Linked DNA regions of Drosophila melanogaster. Changing the gene in region 3 together with the main gene of any one other region gives a genetic interaction. Each region holds a gene or a part of one and is shown on either strand. Other genes may lie near its edges.

Evidence for each region.
Region 1: of Arr2 (region 3) and Fatp1, changing one suppresses a phenotype caused by changing the other (phenotypic suppression), as found in Drosophila melanogaster (one study listed by BioGRID).
Region 2: of Arr2 (region 3) and Camta, changing one enhances a phenotype caused by changing the other (phenotypic enhancement), as found in Drosophila melanogaster (one study listed by BioGRID).

Annotation. Positions count from the first base shown.
Region 1 is NT_033779.5:10,510,937-10,519,846, reverse strand, and holds the start of Fatp1 (fatty acid transport protein 1), read left to right. Parts: upstream 1-2,628; 5' UTR 2,629-2,717; coding exon of another isoform or gene 2,718-2,852; intron 2,853-2,953; coding exon of another isoform or gene 2,954-3,031; 5' UTR 3,032-3,107; coding exon of another isoform or gene 3,108-3,254; coding exon 3,255-3,361; intron 3,362-6,282; coding exon 6,283-6,912; intron 6,913-6,977; coding exon 6,978-7,179; intron 7,180-7,238; coding exon 7,239-8,180; 3' UTR 8,181-8,910. Other genes in the region: Lrr47 (Leucine-rich repeat 47), read right to left, coding at 1,074-1,787, 1,849-2,421.
Region 2 is NT_033778.4:9,443,659-9,449,327, forward strand, and holds the start of Camta (Calmodulin-binding transcription activator), read left to right. Parts: upstream 1-2,387; 5' UTR 2,388-2,774; coding exon 2,775-2,853; intron 2,854-5,427; coding exon 5,428-5,669. Other genes in the region: ced-6, read right to left, coding at 1,015-1,025.
Region 3 is NT_037436.4:8,646,184-8,650,986, reverse strand, and holds Arr2 (arrestin 2), read left to right. Parts: upstream 1-2,050; 5' UTR 2,051-2,161; coding exon 2,162-3,017; intron 3,018-3,084; coding exon 3,085-3,279; intron 3,280-3,341; coding exon 3,342-3,496; 3' UTR 3,497-3,726; downstream 3,727-4,803. Other genes in the region: Pex7 (peroxin 7), read right to left, coding at 271-445, 528-1,280, 1,349-1,440; CG13305 (uncharacterized protein), read left to right, coding at 4,457-4,803. UniProt on the Drosophila melanogaster protein: Regulates photoreceptor cell deactivation. Arr1 and Arr2 proteins are mediators of rhodopsin inactivation and are essential for the termination of the phototransduction cascade.

The sequences.
Region 1 (8,910 bases), on a different chromosome or scaffold from region 3:
GGCAGCCTAGAGAAGTGGGGCAGCCCACACCCCACCCCCACCCCTCGAACAGACAAATGCTGATAAACATTTTTATAGTTGGGCTCGAGTTTGCCACAAGTCATGGCTCATCCTTTTCGTCCTGAAAGGACATTTGCCTTCGCCGCCCGATTCCCCAGCTGCACATTAAAGCCCAGCGAAGGAGCTGGAGTGGCGAAGGTCCTTGAAGGCTGCGTCGCTCTTTATGCTTATTTAAAAAAGTGGCGTCACATCCCAGTTTTGATTTGATAAAGCTAAAGAAAAGCAAAGAACAGCAAGTGATAAGGAGAAGGCTCACAGGAAACATGAGGTATCCAATACTCGGATACCCTTTCAAGGGCTTAGAATATATAGAAATAATGTTCGATCACATATGTATCTTGCATATCTCTAAGGTATGACAAATATTAAACAAATAATGGGACTACATTTTTTAATAATTAAACCAAAAAGGTAACGGACACATAGGTAGTGTAGTCAAATGGATGGACGTATGTGGTGGAAAAGCAAGAAGGCACAAAGTGGAGTGAGTGGTGAGCCGGCTGATAAAAAATCGTTTATTCAAGTCACATACGCACGAAGCTTTTAATAATAAAAACAACGAGCTTCTGTAATACGAAAACAAAGTAAGCAACCAAGCGTGCGTGTGAATGTCTTTATGCCACGGAAATTGTGCCGTGAAGGAGGATTCACTGCATCCAAGGACTATTCAACTTATTGCCCAAAAGGAAAATCAATGCCTTATGCTCACATGTGTAGCATATACTCATTCCTTGGATACCTTAAATTACAACATATTCTTAAACTTCTGGTTATTTTGCACTTAAGCCTACTAACTTATAATAATCGTTAATTCGCATTTATTGGCAGTACAAGTATAACAAATACGGTGAATGAAAACATAACCGAGCAATGATTAATGATTAAGTATATAAAAATACGTATACTTAAATAAGTGCTCCGCGCCAATTAATTTTGGATCAATGATGTGGTTTAGTGAAATAATTTAAAGAAATCTTTGACTAATAGCTAAAAATGTACACCATCTGATTCAATCAGGAAAAGATTATATTGAAGAGCAACTTCAGTTCAGCAGATGCACTGCACCTAGAGTCACAGAGGACCACATCCGCGTAGATCTGATGCTCACGACTGTATGTGAGGTTCTTAACGGTGATGAATTTCGGCTGAACAACGCGCTGGAAGAGGTCCTCCTTGCGCTGGGCATAGCAGAGCTCGCCGCACGGGCATCTGGGAGCCTCCCTTATCAGATCTATTAGCACAGCGGGAATAGAGCCCGCGGACAAGGGCAGCATATACTTATCCACAGCTCGAGCTCCCAAAAGCCACAAAGGTTGCGGCGAATTAGATGCCGCCTTTTGCAGATACATTTGCTGCGCGGCATCTGCATTGAATTCCTTGAAGCAATTGCCCCACACATCCAACAGGTCGATCCGTAGATCCTCGACAGCAGAGGGCAGGGACTCTAGTTCGTTGCTGCACACATAAAGTTTACGCAGTGCTTTCATCCGGCGAATGGCAAAGGGCAGCCGACTCAGCAGATTGTTGTTGAGATTCAGCGATACAAGCGACTCGAATTTAACCAGCGGAGGTGGAAAGTAAGTCAGCCCGTTGCCCGACAGATCCAGCTCGCCGAGCGACTGACAGAGCTTAGTGCCCCGCAGCCAGCACCAGTCATTCTGAGTACCCAGTAAGTTGTTGCCCAGGTGCAGCGAGGTGAGCGGAAGACGACCCAGCTCCGAGGGAATCTAAAAGGCAGAATTAAGCTTAACTCAGTGGTCTAAAATGATAACTAATTAGTCAATCCACCTTGGTCAGCTTGTTACCGCTGACATCCAGCTTTGTGAGGTTGCGCAGGGTGCATATCTCGAAGCTCAGCTTCACTAGCTGGCTGTTGTTGATGGTCAGCGATTTGAGGGTGCGCGGAAATCCCTTGATGGGATACTCGCTCCGCTTGCTGATTACCATGCGCACCTGGGGCTGTGCCTTCTGCGGAATTGCCGTAGCGGCGTTTATGTTCAGTCTCAAATTGATGGCGTCCTTGCCATCCATGCCCAGCTTGAGGGTCTGCAGGAATCCTTTCAGCTGGATAGGATCGCACTTAATAAGCAGGTTATCTGGCGGCTGTATGAAACCAATGGTGGTCTTCCCATCCAGCACAAACTTGGTGTGCACGACATGAATGTTATCCTTGACCTTGTAGCGATTTCCAGTCTTGTTTTGTCCACTAAAGAGCACCATTTCCAGCTCCTTCTTGGTGTTTCCATTCGCATCCCTGGCGCTTTGCTTGTAGCCAATGGCCAGTGTGGATTTCACGGGACGTGGCGTTTTGTTCGTCTGGGTGGCGCGATTCACCACCTGAACTTCGCACAAAATCTTCATGGCGAGGCAGTGATTAGACAATAAACAAAAAAAAAACCCGCTAAATAAAACTAAACATTTGTTTTGGCCTCAAGAGTTGCCACCTGATGGTTGGGACAGCTGATGATATCGAGCAGCCATTCGATAGTTAGTGGTGGACCACATACCGATGTTTTGGATTTTAGGAACTAGTTTCTAAGAGCAGCATCAAAAGCTCTCGAAAAAAAAACAATTGGCGCAGGACAAGTTACAAAACCAAAACAAGCAACGGCAATTGTTTAAAAACTGCAAAGTTACTCCCATTTAAATACCGGAAAATGTTATTTCGCAAGGCTCGCCGACACTTTCTGCCGTTCTACATGTTCAATGGATTCTTGTGACAGCGCAACGAACGATATCAGCGTTTGCGTTACAATAGCTCAAATATTGGTCATCCGAGGCATGAGCTTACAGTAAGTAATGTGTGCAACATATGGAGCAAGACAGTGGTCATGCAATACAAAGAACACTCAAATTTTAAAAACTGAAATAAAATGCAAAAATGTTTCTGCAGCACAACAGCCTGTTGGACAACTATGCGAACAGCAATGTGATAATAAACATTGACAACTGCGCGCTCTACAGCACCAATGTAAGAATTTAAATCTCAAAACCCATTTCGAATACTAACGATCTTATTTTCTTTTCGCTGATCTGGCAACGCCAAGCGGCCAGCTGATCGAAAGTCGATAACCGACGGCTCGCACGATCGACAGCGACGTCGCCGCCAGCGGTTTTTAGTCATTTTTCGGTTTTTCTGCGCAACGGTCGCTTTCGGTTTGGCAATCGCCTGCGTCATCTACACGCTCCACACAATGGGCTGGATTTTTGCTGTGCTCGTCGCACTGGTGGCTCTGCTACTGACGAAACCCGGCTGGCGCTGGTTCTACATAGCGGGTGCGACCGCTAGTCGCGATCTAACGTGAGTGCTGCTCTTGTACAGGGAGGGCATACTGTACCCAAGACCAAGTCCAGTGATAAGTTTACAATACCGCCCCCGTGCGGTTTGCATTTCAATACACAACAACATCTTGGGGGCTTTTCTTTTGTGAATCGATTGAGAACATAAGCGAACTGAAAAATCAGCCGAGTGCGAGGTTCACTTCGTAGCCGAAAGTCAGAAACCACAGTGGAAAAAACTCGTTTTCCATCTATTTGGGTCGCCAACAGCAGCATTCATTTCCAGTTGGGAAAACCATAAAAGAGAAAACTTAACTGGCGAAATGATCCATGCGACATTGTGACGAATAGTCAACGCAAATTATTAGTTTTTGCCACTCGATTACGAGCAGTTTATTGACTTCTTCAGGTTCAAGGTCGCACAGCCCAAAAAAAAAAAAAAACCTACGAGAAACCAAAACAAAACTCGCTTTTATTTACCATTGACTTCATACGATCGTCGCCCAGCGAAACCCTCCGCGCATACTAATCGATCCGAATGCGATCGAGTGCGTCAGGCGGAAGACCACTGGCACACTAACCGATCTGTTCTTGAAAACGTACGCCAAAGAGCCAAAGCTTGGGTCATTATGATGGCGGAAGTGTCGCCTGCGTCTTGGAATTTTCGTTTTTCCAGGGTTGCCAGGGCTACTTACATTTTGAAATTTTGCAGAAAGGTTATTAAGTATTCAGAATTTTTAAGCAGCTCTTTACTTTTAAAATTGTTATAGTTAAGAATGTCTAGGACTTGGATATCAAAGTAAGTTTGCTAACCTCATAAATAGTATAAATTTAAAGAAATTACAATAATATTATAAACCACATAGATTTTTAATTTTTAAGTGATTCACTTTTTTATGGCTACAGTGGAAGTGTTAAGATTCCAGGGTTGCCACGGCAAGCCAAACTATACCAATTGTAGACCAAGCAATAAGCGAACGAAAAGCTTGTCAAAATTATGTATGTCTCATCAATATACTTTGTGTCGTCTGTCGTTACGATAATTAAAAAAGCGGAAGTGTCGCCTTTTGACTTGTGTATGTATTTTGAAGACGGCTATAGATATTGCTTTTTAGCACAGGTATTGTTAGTAATATACATTTTTACAACCAAAACCATCTAACCAAACACCTTAACTAATAGGAGCAAAATCTTTACACTTCATTTTAACTAAGTATTTTAAGATTCAATTAAGTTTGAATTGAGCTATAGCCTTCGCAAATATTCACACATTGCAACGCATTTTACAAAATTATGTTTGACCATAAATAAGGTTAAATACGTAAAGTTATAGCTATTAAAATAGCAAGTATTCTCAGCAGCATTTAATTTGCTCGGCAGTTTTCGCTTAATGAGTCAAACTCGGCAGATCAAGTTCCATGCCAAGGCCAACACTGGTTTCCCATTTACCCAGCTCGTCTATATGGCCATTCGTATATTTCGCGCTCACAACAGATTCTTAAGATCAACTTCAAGTCTGGCCGGTCAACCTTGGCCACGTATCGAAGTTTTTTGCTCGGCCACCAAGTAGACGAATCCAATCTGCGGGCAAACATGTGCAGCAACTCCAAAAGGAGCCAAGCAAACAAAGCACTCGATGGGGGTCATAAGGCCTGATTAAAAACCCTATAAATACGCGGCTAATGTGCGTTAAGCGCTAAGCTAAGTTAACTAGCTGTTACCGGCAATCTTATCGACACTTCACTGCCCCGTTGACGGTGCAAAGTACGCACGGGTGCAAAGCGAATTCAAATTGAGATCGTCGTTGTGGTCGAGTCCCAAGTCGAGTGTAGGTTTTTTTTCCCCCTTTTCTAATACAGTTCCCATCGAACTATTGTATTTGCGATTTGGATTAGTTCTACCTCACACTCTTTCCTATCGTATCAAATCTCTGTGGATCTTAAGTGCTTGCAAATGCCTTTCAGACCGTAGCATCAGCTCTTCTAGAACTTGTAGAGGAAACTATTAGTATTACAGAGGCAGCTCTTTATAGTTTATACAAATTAATACCGTGTAACAACTTGAAGGCATCTATCTTTATAAGAAATACACATGATTACAAAAAAATCAAATTTCTAAACTCACATTTGTCAATACAAGTGCAATTTATTTCAACCGCTAGTCAATGATAAACATTATCTGCCTTCGTTCAGTGTGCAGGTTTATTTATTTTGCCGATAGCTTCTTCAATATTGATAAACATGGGCCAAACAACAGTTACAGTTTAAGTATAAAACTCTTAATCCTCATAAGTGATAAGATACTAAGATGTGTAAGAGTTCTGTTCCAATGATTATACGATTGCAAATGAAAATATAAACGTCAGATTTAGATATCTGTAGCTATTGGTTAAGCTTTCTCCCGGAAAATTCAAAAGCCCTTGAAACTGGCTAAACAAATACGATTTTATCTCAACCTTCCCGTGAACTTTGCATTACTCAGCTCGAAATTAGCAGCGTCATTAAGTTGTGGCTCGCATGGTCGGACTAGGTTACCACGTTCGGATTGAATTGCAACCACTTCGAGCGGGTTTATCTCTGGGTTTATCGCATCACGGCTGTTGCGCTTGTCGAGCTTCGATTTCTGTTGGCTATTTATACAGACCCCAACCACTAACCATAAAACACACGCGATTGATGGCAAAGATAATGCCGGTACGGCTACTATCCTCGACTAGCCGCTAATCAAACACTTTCCCTCCAAAACTGAGTAACATATCAATATCCGTTGGTTATACACGTTATTTGTGGATTTTCCATTGCAAAGAAGATACGCTATCTTCAAAAATATTGTCTAGTCAACACACTTTTATATAGCACTAACTAATTTAGCATTGTTCGTTTGAAGATTCCTCGATTTATCAGGTTTGATATTTAATTTACTAATCAAATTTCCCCTTAACAGAGCTCTCTGGGCCTATATCAAGCTGCTGAGGTACACGAAGCGCCATGAGCGGCTCAACTACACGGTGGCGGACGTCTTCGAACGAAATGTTCAGGCCCATCCGGACAAGGTGGCTGTGGTCAGTGAGACGCAACGCTGGACCTTCCGTCAGGTGAACGAGCATGCGAACAAGGTGGCCAATGTGCTGCAGGCTCAGGGCTACAAAAAGGGCGATGTGGTGGCCCTGTTGCTGGAGAACCGCGCCGAGTACGTGGCCACCTGGCTGGGTCTCTCCAAGATCGGTGTGATCACACCGCTGATCAACACGAATCTGCGCGGTCCCTCCCTGCTGCACAGCATCACGGTGGCCCATTGCTCGGCTCTCATTTACGGCGAGGACTTCCTGGAAGCTGTCACCGACGTGGCCAAGGATCTGCCAGCGAACCTCACACTCTTCCAGTTCAACAACGAGAACAACAACAGCGAGACGGAAAAGAACATACCGCAGGCCAAGAATCTGAACGCGCTGCTGACCACGGCCAGCTATGAGAAGCCTAACAAGACGCAGGTTAACCACCACGACAAGCTGGTCTACATCTACACCTCCGGCACCACAGGATTGCCAAAGGCTGCGGTTATCTCTCACTCCCGGTGAGTGCAATAGCTTTTCTGAACTAAGTTTAAATGGAAAGGTTCTAAACAAATTTGTACTTTAGTTATCTGTTTATCGCTGCTGGCATCCACTACACCATGGGTTTCCAGGAGGAGGACATCTTCTACACGCCCTTGCCTTTGTACCACACCGCTGGTGGCATTATGTGCATGGGTCAGTCGGTGCTCTTTGGCTCCACGGTCTCCATTCGCAAGAAGTTCTCGGCATCCAACTATTTCGCCGACTGCGCCAAGTATAATGCAACTGTAAGTGAGATTTATGGCCTAACTAAATCACTCTCTAATTTGGCTTTTGTGATTTCCAGATTGGTCAGTATATCGGTGAGATGGCTCGCTACATTCTAGCTACGAAACCCTCGGAATACGACCAGAAACACCGAGTGCGTCTGGTCTTTGGAAACGGACTGCGACCGCAGATTTGGCCACAGTTTGTGCAGCGCTTCAACATTGCCAAGGTTGGCGAGTTCTACGGCGCCACCGAGGGTAATGCGAACATCATGAATCATGACAACACGGTGGGCGCCATCGGCTTTGTGTCGCGCATCCTGCCCAAGATCTACCCAATCTCGATCATTCGCGCCGATCCGGACACCGGAGAGCCCATTAGAGATAGGAATGGCCTATGCCAACTGTGCGCTCCCAACGAGCCAGGCGTATTCATCGGCAAGATCGTCAAAGGAAATCCTTCTCGCGAATTCCTCGGATACGTCGATGAAAAGGCCTCCGCGAAGAAGATTGTTAAGGATGTGTTCAAGCATGGCGATATGGCTTTCATCTCCGGAGATCTGCTGGTTGCCGACGAGAAGGGTTATCTGTACTTCAAGGATCGCACCGGTGACACCTTCCGCTGGAAGGGCGAGAATGTTTCCACCAGCGAGGTGGAGGCGCAAGTCAGCAATGTGGCCGGTTACAAGGATACCGTCGTTTACGGCGTAACCATTCCGCACACCGAGGGAAGGGCCGGCATGGCCGCCATCTATGATCCGGAGCGAGAATTGGACCTCGACGTCTTCGCCGCTAGCTTGGCCAAGGTGCTGCCCGCGTACGCTCGTCCCCAGATCATTCGATTGCTCACCAAGGTGGACCTGACTGGAACCTTTAAGCTGCGCAAGGTAGACCTGCAGAAGGAGGGCTACGATCCGAACGCGATCAAGGACGCGCTGTACTACCAGACTTCCAAGGGTCGGTACGAGCTGCTCACGCCCCAGGTTTACGACCAGGTGCAGCGCAACGAAATCCGCTTCTAAGAGCTGCAATAGAGTTGTGTCTGAACCTTGCCTTTTGCCCAATATGCTGTTAATTAGTTTGTAAGGCTAAGTGTAGTAGAGGAAAATCGGGGGAAATCGGCAGCAAAGATCATTCAGCCTAGGAGAGATGCATCCGAAGCACATTTCCATGTCAACAATGCACTTTTGTATATCGTAAGCATATATATATCGTATATCGTAAACGTAGTTGTATCTGCATTTGTGTAGATGATAGCCTCCTATACGCATTTCAATTGTTTTTAGCGTGCTAAAGAACCTTGTTAAATGCAATTTCAGCTATTGTTTAGTCAGTTTTAGTGGCATTTACACTTCCATTCTCGTTGCGTTTCGTTTTTGCCTGTACATATGAGAAGCTCTGATGTTTTTGTATCAAATAAAGTTTATTCCTTCACCACGGACCACGTATTTAAATTCGCAGTCTATCGTGCGGCAGAATGACACCATTCCACCTGCATACAAATGATTATGTGCGATTCGCTCCTCGACTCTCCGATCTATAGAAATGCATAGAGATATACTTACACTCATACCCATGCTGTGAGTATTCAATTAACCAAACTTGAACCTTGTCGACGTTCAAGTGCATGAAATTAACGAGAATTTTTAATAGCATTATATAATAATCTGTGAATCAGCTAACGACAATAACGTTTAATAGAAGATGCGCCCTTAATTTAATTATGGTTCTACTCCGCTTTCTGTGATTTTT
Region 2 (5,669 bases), on a different chromosome or scaffold from region 3:
GAAGGGCTCAGCGAAACTGGCACCAACAACATGGTTCAATGTGCACTTATTGAGGGGGCGTTCGATCTGCCCCCCATTTGCAAGTAATAATGGCTTTTAAAAACTCGCTATTGCATTTTGATCGGGGTCTCTTTTGAATTGTTATCGTCGCCAAGGGGCGTTGACTGCGTATGCTCGTTGGGCGCGCTGAGGGGAGTCCTGAGGGGGCGTGACTTCGAATGCTTGTTTCGTCGCACATGACGTTATCTTGGCGTCGTTTTCATCATCAAAGCAATAGAGTTCAAAGGCCCAATTAGCCAAATAAAATGCATGAAACCAGAAAATACGTTTCTCACTCATTGTTTTATAAGGCGAAATGTCATTAAATGGTATTGTAAATATTTGTGCGCTGCAATAAAATGGCAGCCGAAGCCAGTTATTCTTGTTGCTTTGCAGCTCGTAGGAACGTGCTGGTATTTTTCAAGCGCAATCGCTCGCTCAGTTTTTCGGGCTTTTCAGCTTTTTCAGAGCCTGGGTGCGGAGCCGGTGTCATCAGCATAATTTACGTGCCGATGCCCGCCCCGCCGAGAGTCACGTTTCCACCTCACGCTCCTTATCACATGTCGACGAGCACGGGGAACACTGTAGGAAATCAAAAGTGGGGAGTACTGTCAAAGTGCCACAAAATGCATATACATATGTAAATAAGAAACTCAAAGCTGCAAATCAAACAAGCAACGCGATTCGGATTAATTCCAATGCCTAAATTATAGCCAGCAATGTAATGTAGCAATATTGAGAGAATATCATATTATCCTAACTATAGATATAAACATAAAATTCTAATTTCAGCTTTATTATGCTTCCCATAAGTAAACATTGACCTTCTTAATATACAATAACTGTCAAATTATCATTACAAGATAATTCAGAAGACAAATATTTTGTTTTCTGGGATCGCGGATTATCAAGTTGGCGGGTTCATTTAGCGCGTGTTGCCTGTGCTTCCAAATGAGCAGCGCTTATCTCGTTTACCTCTTGATCATCGCTTATCAGCGGGGCCCTGAACGCCCCCATAAAGGCACGACACACACACATACATACACAAGTGGCACGCACACGGACATGCACACATTTCGAGTAATTCAATTATTTTGTGTATTATTTTCAATGTGCAACAAAAGCGACAATAAAATAACAAGCCAGCGGCAATATACAGCCAGCAGCCGACTTATCACCGCGCCGTCGCTGTTGTTGCAATGCTTGTTGCTGCTGATGTTGTCGTCGATTTCAAACTGCTGGCACTGACTGGCACTGGCACACAGCTATGGCAATTATTCTGTGTTCGCTTCAGTCGCCCCGCCCGTTGATTTTGATAGAGCCAGAGCCCCGAGACTTCCGCTGGTCGCGGGAAGCGGAGGGAAGCGAGGCGGGGTCGGAAAACCGCGGGGTCGGCTGCTGGAAAAATCCAAGGAAAGTTCGGCGAAAGTCGTTGCCTATCAATGATGGGCGGTCTCAAGGGCTGTACATACATACAAACATACATATATTTTGATAGCTTACAATATACAAATGTACATATGCGAATTACACAAAATGTCATTTACATTTTACGCCCATTTTACTTCCCATTTGCATGCTCCTCTTAAAGGATTTTGACATATAACTTTATGATTGAACTAAGCTAAGAACTAGAATGGTATGTAATATTTTCCTTGGGTTCTAACAAAAGTCGCAGGAATAGAACTTCCTGCTCACGTCCAAGCAAACCAATCTCAGCGTTTTTAAGACAAATATGCATTATAAATTCATCAATCCTTCATTATTTATTTATTTAAGATAATATAACCGAGGCCATCGACTATGTACCTATATACTAATATACATCATTTGATTGAACTAAGATTAAAATTTTCGTAGACTGAAAGGGTATACTAGATTCGTTGAAATGTACATATACATATGTAAGTTAAAGAAGGGTGGAACCGTCAGCTGGACGTCGGCGGTAAACAGCGGACACGGCGGGATACATCGGAGTTTAAAATTCAACAGAAAGAAAATAATTATAAAACGTATAAAAAATGACTAACAAAACCCGGATTTGAAATTCAATACGATATTTTAAATATAGTGCCCGATTTCCGATAATTGAATGTTGGAGTTGTCATCTTGACCGATAAGCCGATAAGTGGAACACTTGGGGTGCTGCCAGATGGTTAGATATAGTTTAAACTAATTTATATCAAACATAGACTTGTAAGGTTAAGATTACAAGGTTATTGGCTTGTAAAGTATTCTTGCTTTCTTGTATAATAAGTTATCAATTTTAAAAAATTCGAAATCATTGTCGTTAAGTTTTGTGGGAGCTCGCCCTTTGCAACATCTGGCAACTTTGCCGTCATATGTTTGACAGTTTGACATGCACACAGTTTTGGAGTAGCTCAAAATATTTTCGCTATCGTTTTTTTTTAATAATTTCGTGTGTGAAACGGTGATATTATTGATTTTTGTTGCATTTTATGCATCGTCCAGCTGAAGCACATCGAAATCCGCCAAGGGACTCCACGGCTTGCGCACAGGGAGGCAGTGAAAAAGTTTTGTTTACCTTTTTTCGATATCCCAGAGTTCTGCGATTTCGGTGTCGCTGTGTGCGTGTGCGAGCGCCCATGTCACCTGTGTGTGTGTGCGTGCGAGCTGGTGTGCAAAAATGAAAATGCATTCTCAATAAAGCGAAATAAATGTGCCAACCGCTAAGAGAGTAGTGCATTCTAAAATTGGTTGTTAAAGCTGTGCACATGGAAAATGTGCCCGATATTTCCACCAGCGCTTCGTCCTCTTCTACTTCTAATTCAACTTCCACACTGAAACTCCAAAGTAAGTTAGCCCCAACTCCCCCTACCCCTATCACCCATCCCTCTTCTACATGCATATATGTAAGTTATATCTGTGCTGTAGCCCACGTATCTCCCGATTTTCGACCTGATAGTCGTGCTCTCCTCGATATTGGTTTTCCAATTAGTTTTTGTTTTGTTGTGTTTCGCTTTGCGTTGCGTTTTGTTTTCACGTTGTTGGGGGTTTCTTTGGGCCATTAACCCATTGGTGGCCGCTGTGCCATATTACGCCTTTCCTGTCAATACTGAAATCTCTTTAGTATTACGCCCATCTACGGTATTGCAAAGCTGGTTTAAAGATGGGAGAGTCTAATTGGAAATTCCTATGGACGCAATCAGCTGTTATCTGGATTCTTTAAACATAAATATGGCAACTCTGCTCGTAAAAACCGATTGGCGGGCTTCGAATTTTAGAAGTGTTAATAACACACTCTTAGTTGGTCATAAATTCATGAGTATAGATAAGATAAATGGAAACATTTCTTTTCCAAACACAAAACTAGTGACCTAAATGTTTATAAACAATGATTGTTTAAAAGATTGGAAAGTGGTCACAAAAAAATCCAAGACGTTCACCACTTTATTTAAATAATAAATATTTATGTCTAGACCCAGAGTAATAATCAGTTGCAGACTGATAAAGCCTATCAAAGTTCTTGTTCTTGTGGTTTGTTCATCTTTGATTTGTCCTCTTTCTTAACCCTTTGTCGGCTATCTATGTGCAGAATCTATTGACATATTTATCGAACTCTTTCCCCAGCTGGCAAATCTAACGCTTTTTGATTTATGCTTCTAATAAAAATTCAATAGACTTGCAATTTGTCCAGCTACCCAGAAACTTTTGTTTCCCCCCCAGTTTCCCAGCTAAGCAAGTGGAGTAAAGCACGTGGAGTACAACAGTGGGATTATATAGCACGATTTTTTTTTTTCAAAATCCTGTAATCAAACAAAATTTAAAGAAAAGAATTAAAAACAAAAAATATTTCAATTAAATTGATATTTCCTATTATAGGAATATTTGGTTTTAACAGCATTTATACATGAGAAAAACCCTTAAAAATAAATACGAATTAAAAGCAAATTAATTTTAAAATAATTACAACAAAATCATTTTCCATTCAAAATTCCGTTTTTATCTTCTGGTTTTCATTATTATATATATGTTGTATATTTTTTTTTTTACTTAAACTAACAATTGTCGTGCCCACTGTCCACATCGTTGCACATCAAAAGCCGCGACGAACGCAAAAATATGCGAAGCTTCAGCCAAGAGTGTTTTATGTGTTACGCGGCTGCCTGATCCCCGAGTGCCCCGAATCCTGGGATCTGCGTGCTGTTGTGGCTGGTCTGCCATACATTACAATGAAGTATGTGCGCTCGAATGGATGGCCAGCCAACAGCCAGTGGCCCCACCTATTCTATTCCGATCCTGGTCCAATTCAGGCGGTTTATTTTGCCTGGCGGCAGGCGACCTTTTTGCACAGACACTCCAAGGAAGGCGAAGGGGGCGCAGACACTTGTCCACTTGGGGTCAGATGGTCGCATGTGGCGCTTTCCCCTGCCCGCTTTTCTGCTTTTCCGCTTTTCCCCAAAGCACAGCCGACTGAAGGCGGCGTCAACGGCTAATTATGACCCGCACGTTTTTGCGAAAACAAACACACATGGTTTTTGGGGGTGTGGAAATACCCAGGAAAGGGTGCTGGATGCCGGCGGCGGGGGGAGGCGGGAAAAGCAGGGGAGCCGGACAAGTGTTTAGGCTACATTTCGAAATGTTTCCGGCGCGCACTTTACGTTCCGTGTCGCCTTCAGCCTTGAGAGTCTATATTTGGCAACGCATGCCAGGGCAGAGACCCCCATTTGCCTACACCCGTGAACCTACCCCATTACTTTCTCCTCCTTTCTTGGCTGAAAACTCGCTGTTTGTTTGTTGCACTTTTATTGCGTTTTGTGCTGGGGCTCGTCGGCTAAGTAGTCCTTCGTCCCTGCCATAAACATGTCGTCTTTCGCTTGATTTAGCGTTTGGCTACCGCCCATCCTCCCCATTTGTTGGCCAACAAAATAGAGTGTCCGAGCCACTGACCGCTCTAGGCATACGTCGCGTATACGTAATGCTCGACGTCCCTTTCAGTTCATTTTTACGGACCCTGGGAAAGTGCAACAATGGCAGCCACGCCTCCTGCCTCCCCTGTCACATGCGCTTCTAATGCAAGGCTTTCCAAATTCGATCAAGATGGAGTCATAAATCTTGCGCCGCTTATGAAGTTTCCATTGAATTTGCATACAATGGGGCTGTCCGTTTTTTGGGGCCACTCGAAATTGCTCAATTCGAGAAATCGAGAACAAAATGTTACAGGAGCACTTACACCAAAAATGAAACCAACACGCTGTTTAGATAACTTACAAATAAATAAATAAGATCTACTCTTTTTATACATCCAGACGTTCTAGGATGTACATTTTTAATTTTGTTGTTTTACCTGGATAAATACCTTTTATATATTGTATGTACATTGAATTGATTATTTAAGACTGATTTACTTTTGTTATTCCTTTCTAGGCCAAATCACCTCCAAAAATGTCTTGATCCGATCGCAGAGCAGTGGCAAGCTAAGCAGCAATGAAGCGAAATCAGCAAAGCCAGCAGCAACAACCAGTACAACGACGACTCTGCGAGCGGCCAAGCTCAAGATCGGGGCCATGCAACAGCAGAAGCAGCAACACCAGCAGCAGCATCAGGCCACGAGTGGCGGCAACATCATCCTGCTGCGCGGCACACGCAACGAAAATGGCCAGATCATC
Region 3 (4,803 bases):
TTTATTGACATTTTGAAGCACCTGCTTGAGGTTTTAGCCCGTTCAGCGTTTATCACACAGCTATTTACACGTCATCGTTGCGCCGATGAGTCCTTGTCTTCGGTTCCTTACAGTTCCTTATAGGCATTGCATATAGCTCAGCTATCGTAATAACGGTGCACCGCTTGTAGGCCTGGCTATTTCGACGCCACTAGCGCCTTATCACATGTGTTTTCGGTATTTAGGGAGTACCAGTTCCAGTTTCCAGTTTTGGGCATGCCCTGTACTAACCTAGACGACCAGATCACCGCTCAGACACTGCGGGGTATAAACGTTGGCCAACGAGTCCCAGCCACAGTCGGCCAACTGATGGGTCCTGTGGGGATTCCAATCCAATCCGCACACGAACTCCGTGTGCCGCGCATTGACCTCCTGGGCGGACTCACCACGCTCCAGATTCCAAATCCTAAAAAGGTGACAAAAGTGGACAGTTGTTACTAACCATAAAAATGTCCTGTTTTTTGAAAGCCTAAGATCATTCCACTTACCTTGTGGTAAAATCATAATTGGCCGATGCCAAGACCGCTGCCGAGTGCGGTGAACAGGCCAATCGCCGGACAGCGAATTCTCCAGAGTACAGCTCAAAGACGTGCGTCCTCATCTTGCGCAGATCCCAGCCGCGGATCAGACCGTCCGAACCTCCAGTGACCAGGACATTGCGATCGAAGTGCGACCAGTCGCAGCATAGTGCCTCACTCGCATGCGCCTCGATGCTCATCAGGGGTTTACCTGCAAAGTCAAGAGAGTTCCATAAGTTAAGATGTCCATCGGTACTTACGCTTGCAAACAGATTGGCGATCAGGGGCGAGAACTTGGCCCCGTAGATCAGATCGTTGTGGCCCACAAATGTGGTGATGGAGTTCTGTCTGTTGCAGTCCCACAATTTCAGTGTACAATCCCAGCTGCCCGAGAGCAGCGTGTGGTAGTTCCACTTCTCGCCCCAGTCCAGGCTGTACACCTCGTTCTTGTGCTCCTGCAGGCAGATCAGCGGCTGTTTCGGCGTCAGCTGGTTGCTCGCCGATTCGCCATCCAATCCGCACCAGATCTGAAGCGATCCATCTCCGGAGGCAGTGGCGGCGATATCGGCGGCATACGGACACCAGGCGACGTCGAACAATCCATCGGACCACTCTAGGCGGCACAGCTCTCCGAGACTCTGGCCATCTGTGGATGAGGAATTTGTGTTGGAGTTCTGTTCCAGCAGAAAGAGGGAACCACCTCCAGCAAGACCGTACAGTTGGCTGGGTATCGAAAAAAAATGGTTTTCTATTAGTATATTGTTGGTTTTAGAGCTTAAGATTGATCTCACCTTGTAGCTAGCAGCAAGTAGTTAGCCTCGAAAGGCGAAAAGCGCAGGCTATAGCCATGTCGGTCTGTGGTGGTGTGTGTCTGTGTCTGCATCTTGGTTCTAGATCTCAACTGCAAAGAAAAAAAAAGGAGAGATTCAAAATAATACCAATTTCTCTGGACCTTAAATATTATCTAACATTAACTACAATGAATTGCGACCTTTGGTAAGCTAGTTGTAAGAAATGCCAATTTCAATTATACCTCTCACATTAAAATCAATATATCGACGTTTGATACATAACAAAATTAAAAACATCTAAGGTTTCTCCTTGCTGCCCACTGATGTTTGGCTAAGAGAGAACAAAACTGGCCGATTGATAACAACCCGGTAACACCAAATCGGATGCTAATCCAGCTCCAACCTACCATGCTCAATTATTCAACAGTTGGCCAAATGACCTCGTACTAGGTCGGAAAATCGGAAAAAGATACTTGACATTAGCCAATTTGCTCGGGCAAGTGGCAAACTGCGCAGAAAATAGAACAACCCCTGGAAGCAGCTTGTTTGCAGTTTTCCCTTAGTTCCTATGGTTCTATCTTATTGTCGTGTTGGACAAGCCAACAAACAAGTGCATAACGAGCAAATCCAGTTAGTGGCCAGAATGAAGACCCACGGACAGGGCCAGGGCAAAGGTATATAAGCAGGTTGTACGGCACTTGGGTTTCGCATTTTCCTCCGCCGAACGGAAAACTCTATAACGCGCATCGCCCGACTTAGCCTCGAATTGCCCAGTTGCATTTGCCAGGAATCAAAGAAATCCACTAATCCACAATGGTTGTATCCGTGAAGGTCTTTAAGAAGGCCACGCCCAACGGCAAGGTCACCTTTTATCTGGGACGCCGCGACTTCATCGACCACATCGACTACTGTGATCCCGTCGATGGAGTGATTGTGGTGGAACCGGACTATCTAAAGAACAGGAAAGTCTTTGGCCAACTGGCCACCACCTATCGCTATGGTCGCGAGGAGGACGAGGTCATGGGAGTGAAGTTCTCCAAGGAGCTTATCCTGTGCCGGGAGCAAATTGTGCCCATGACCAATCCCAACATGGAGATGACACCGATGCAGGAGAAGCTGGTCCGCAAACTGGGCAGCAACGCCTATCCGTTCACCTTCCACTTCCCGCCCAATTCGCCCAGCTCCGTTACTCTGCAGCAGGAGGGCGACGACAATGGCAAGCCCCTGGGCGTCGAGTACACCATCCGGGCATTTGTGGGCGACTCCGAGGACGATCGCCAGCACAAGCGGAGCATGGTCAGTCTGGTGATCAAGAAGCTGCAGTACGCTCCCCTCAATCGTGGCCAGCGTCTGCCCAGCTCGCTGGTCAGCAAGGGATTCACCTTCTCGAATGGCAAGATCAGTCTGGAGGTTACGCTGGACAGGGAGATCTACTATCATGGCGAGAAGACGGCTGCCACCGTCCAGGTGTCGAACAACTCCAAGAAGTCCGTGAAGAGCATCAAGTGCTTCATTGTGCAGCACACTGAGATCACCATGGTGAACGCCCAGTTCAGCAAGCATGTGGCCCAGCTGGAGACCAAGGAGGGCTGCCCCATCACTCCGGGCGCCAATCTCACCAAGACCTTCTACTTGATTCCGCTGGCGGCTAACAACAAGGATCGCCATGGTAGGATTTGGATGTGATAGTTGTGATTCTGGATAGTTTCTAATGGATTATTTAATTGTGAACTCAGGTATCGCCCTGGATGGTCACTTGAAGGACGAGGATGTCAACCTGGCTTCATCCACCATGGTGCAGGAGGGCAAGTCCACGGGAGATGCCTGTGGTATTGTCATCTCGTACTCGGTGCGCATTAAGCTCAACTGCGGCACTCTGGGAGGTGAAATGCAGACGGATGTGCCCTTCAAGCTACTCCAACCGGCACCTGGTAAGCTTTAGAAGATTACTTGAACTTGACTTCTAGTTTGTAATTCCTTTGATGTGGTATAGGAACCATTGAGAAGAAGCGCTCGAATGCCATGAAGAAAATGAAGTCCATCGAGCAGCACCGCAATGTGAAGGGCTATTACCAGGATGATGACGATAATATTGTATTCGAGGACTTCGCCAAGATGCGCATGAACAATGTGAACATGGCGGACTAGGCCACCGATCTTCAATCTCTTCTAGCTCTGTTGTGAACCGAATTGAACTAAATCGAAAGCACTGAAAATTTGTTGCAGCAGTCTCTCGTGGAGGCCACAATCTTTGTATTATAATCGTATCTATAATGTAACTTTGGTGGATCTGGAGTTTGTACCCGTACATATGCATGTTGATGAGTTGAACAGACCTCGTGTCGCTATATTATAAATGTGTTATGGCTATCAAAAGCACTCACCTTTTCTCTCGTTTGCGATGTAGTATCCAAAAGTGATTCGGTAAGGATTCGGTTTTTGGTAGTGGATTGTTCTTGGCGGTGCTGTGGGTTTCAACTTCAGAAGTCGAATGATCTAAACAACTGCGCAGCTCGACGACGAAGGATCTGCTGGCAGGAATTCTAAGGGTGATTTTTCAACGATGACAGGGGGTTGAAAAGCCCAATGCTTATAGGTCACATCGTAGGCTTTCAACCCCTTGCAAGAAGCAACAGGCTGCCAGGATATGTGTTCCACCAATCAGGATCAACCAGAACTGGATATGGCCGGCTCTAACGGTCAACGGAAGTTCCAAGCTCCAGATGTTGACAATGCGTTTGCCAAAATACACAATTTTTGTGTATGCTAAATAGCCCAAGCTTTTGACCTTGATGATGGCTAAGGCCGCCAGCTGCCAGCAGTTTGATTCTAGGTCTCATCCCCGTCAGTCTAGCTGATTTTCCTCTTTTTTTTGGTTTTTTCTATTTTACAATTTTCTCGCATTTTATTTGCCATATCTTATATAAGCCCTGCAGCTGACCGTTGGAGCATTGCACAATCCGGGGCAGCAGCGTCGATCGATTTCACACACCGCTGACTGCTGGGCAAGTGACTTCCGGCTTTTGGCCAAGCCCCGAAAAGTGGCCAACTATAAATGGCTATGTTGTTGTCAAAATGCTGCCACAAATTTGACGAGAGTGCAACGCGATGGATCTGCCAATTGGAAAGTTAAACGGACTGCTAAAGATGCAAATATTCCTCCTGCAATTGTTGCTTTTCGTTTCGCCGGCATTGTTGCAGCAGCCACATGTCTTTTACCATCCAAGACAATTGTATTACGATTCACCGCGTCTTCGTCGCTTTGAGTATGGTGCCGCTGCCACGCCCATTGTGGGCGGCTATAGTCCGGCTCCTCCGCCGGCGATTCACTTTCAGCAGCAGACGCCACACTTTCAGCTGATTAACTATCGGCCGAGTTATCAGCCCTTGGGCTTGGATTACCAGCAGCAGCAGTTGCCCGCTCCTGCCGCACCCCCTCCGCCCCTGTATCCGCA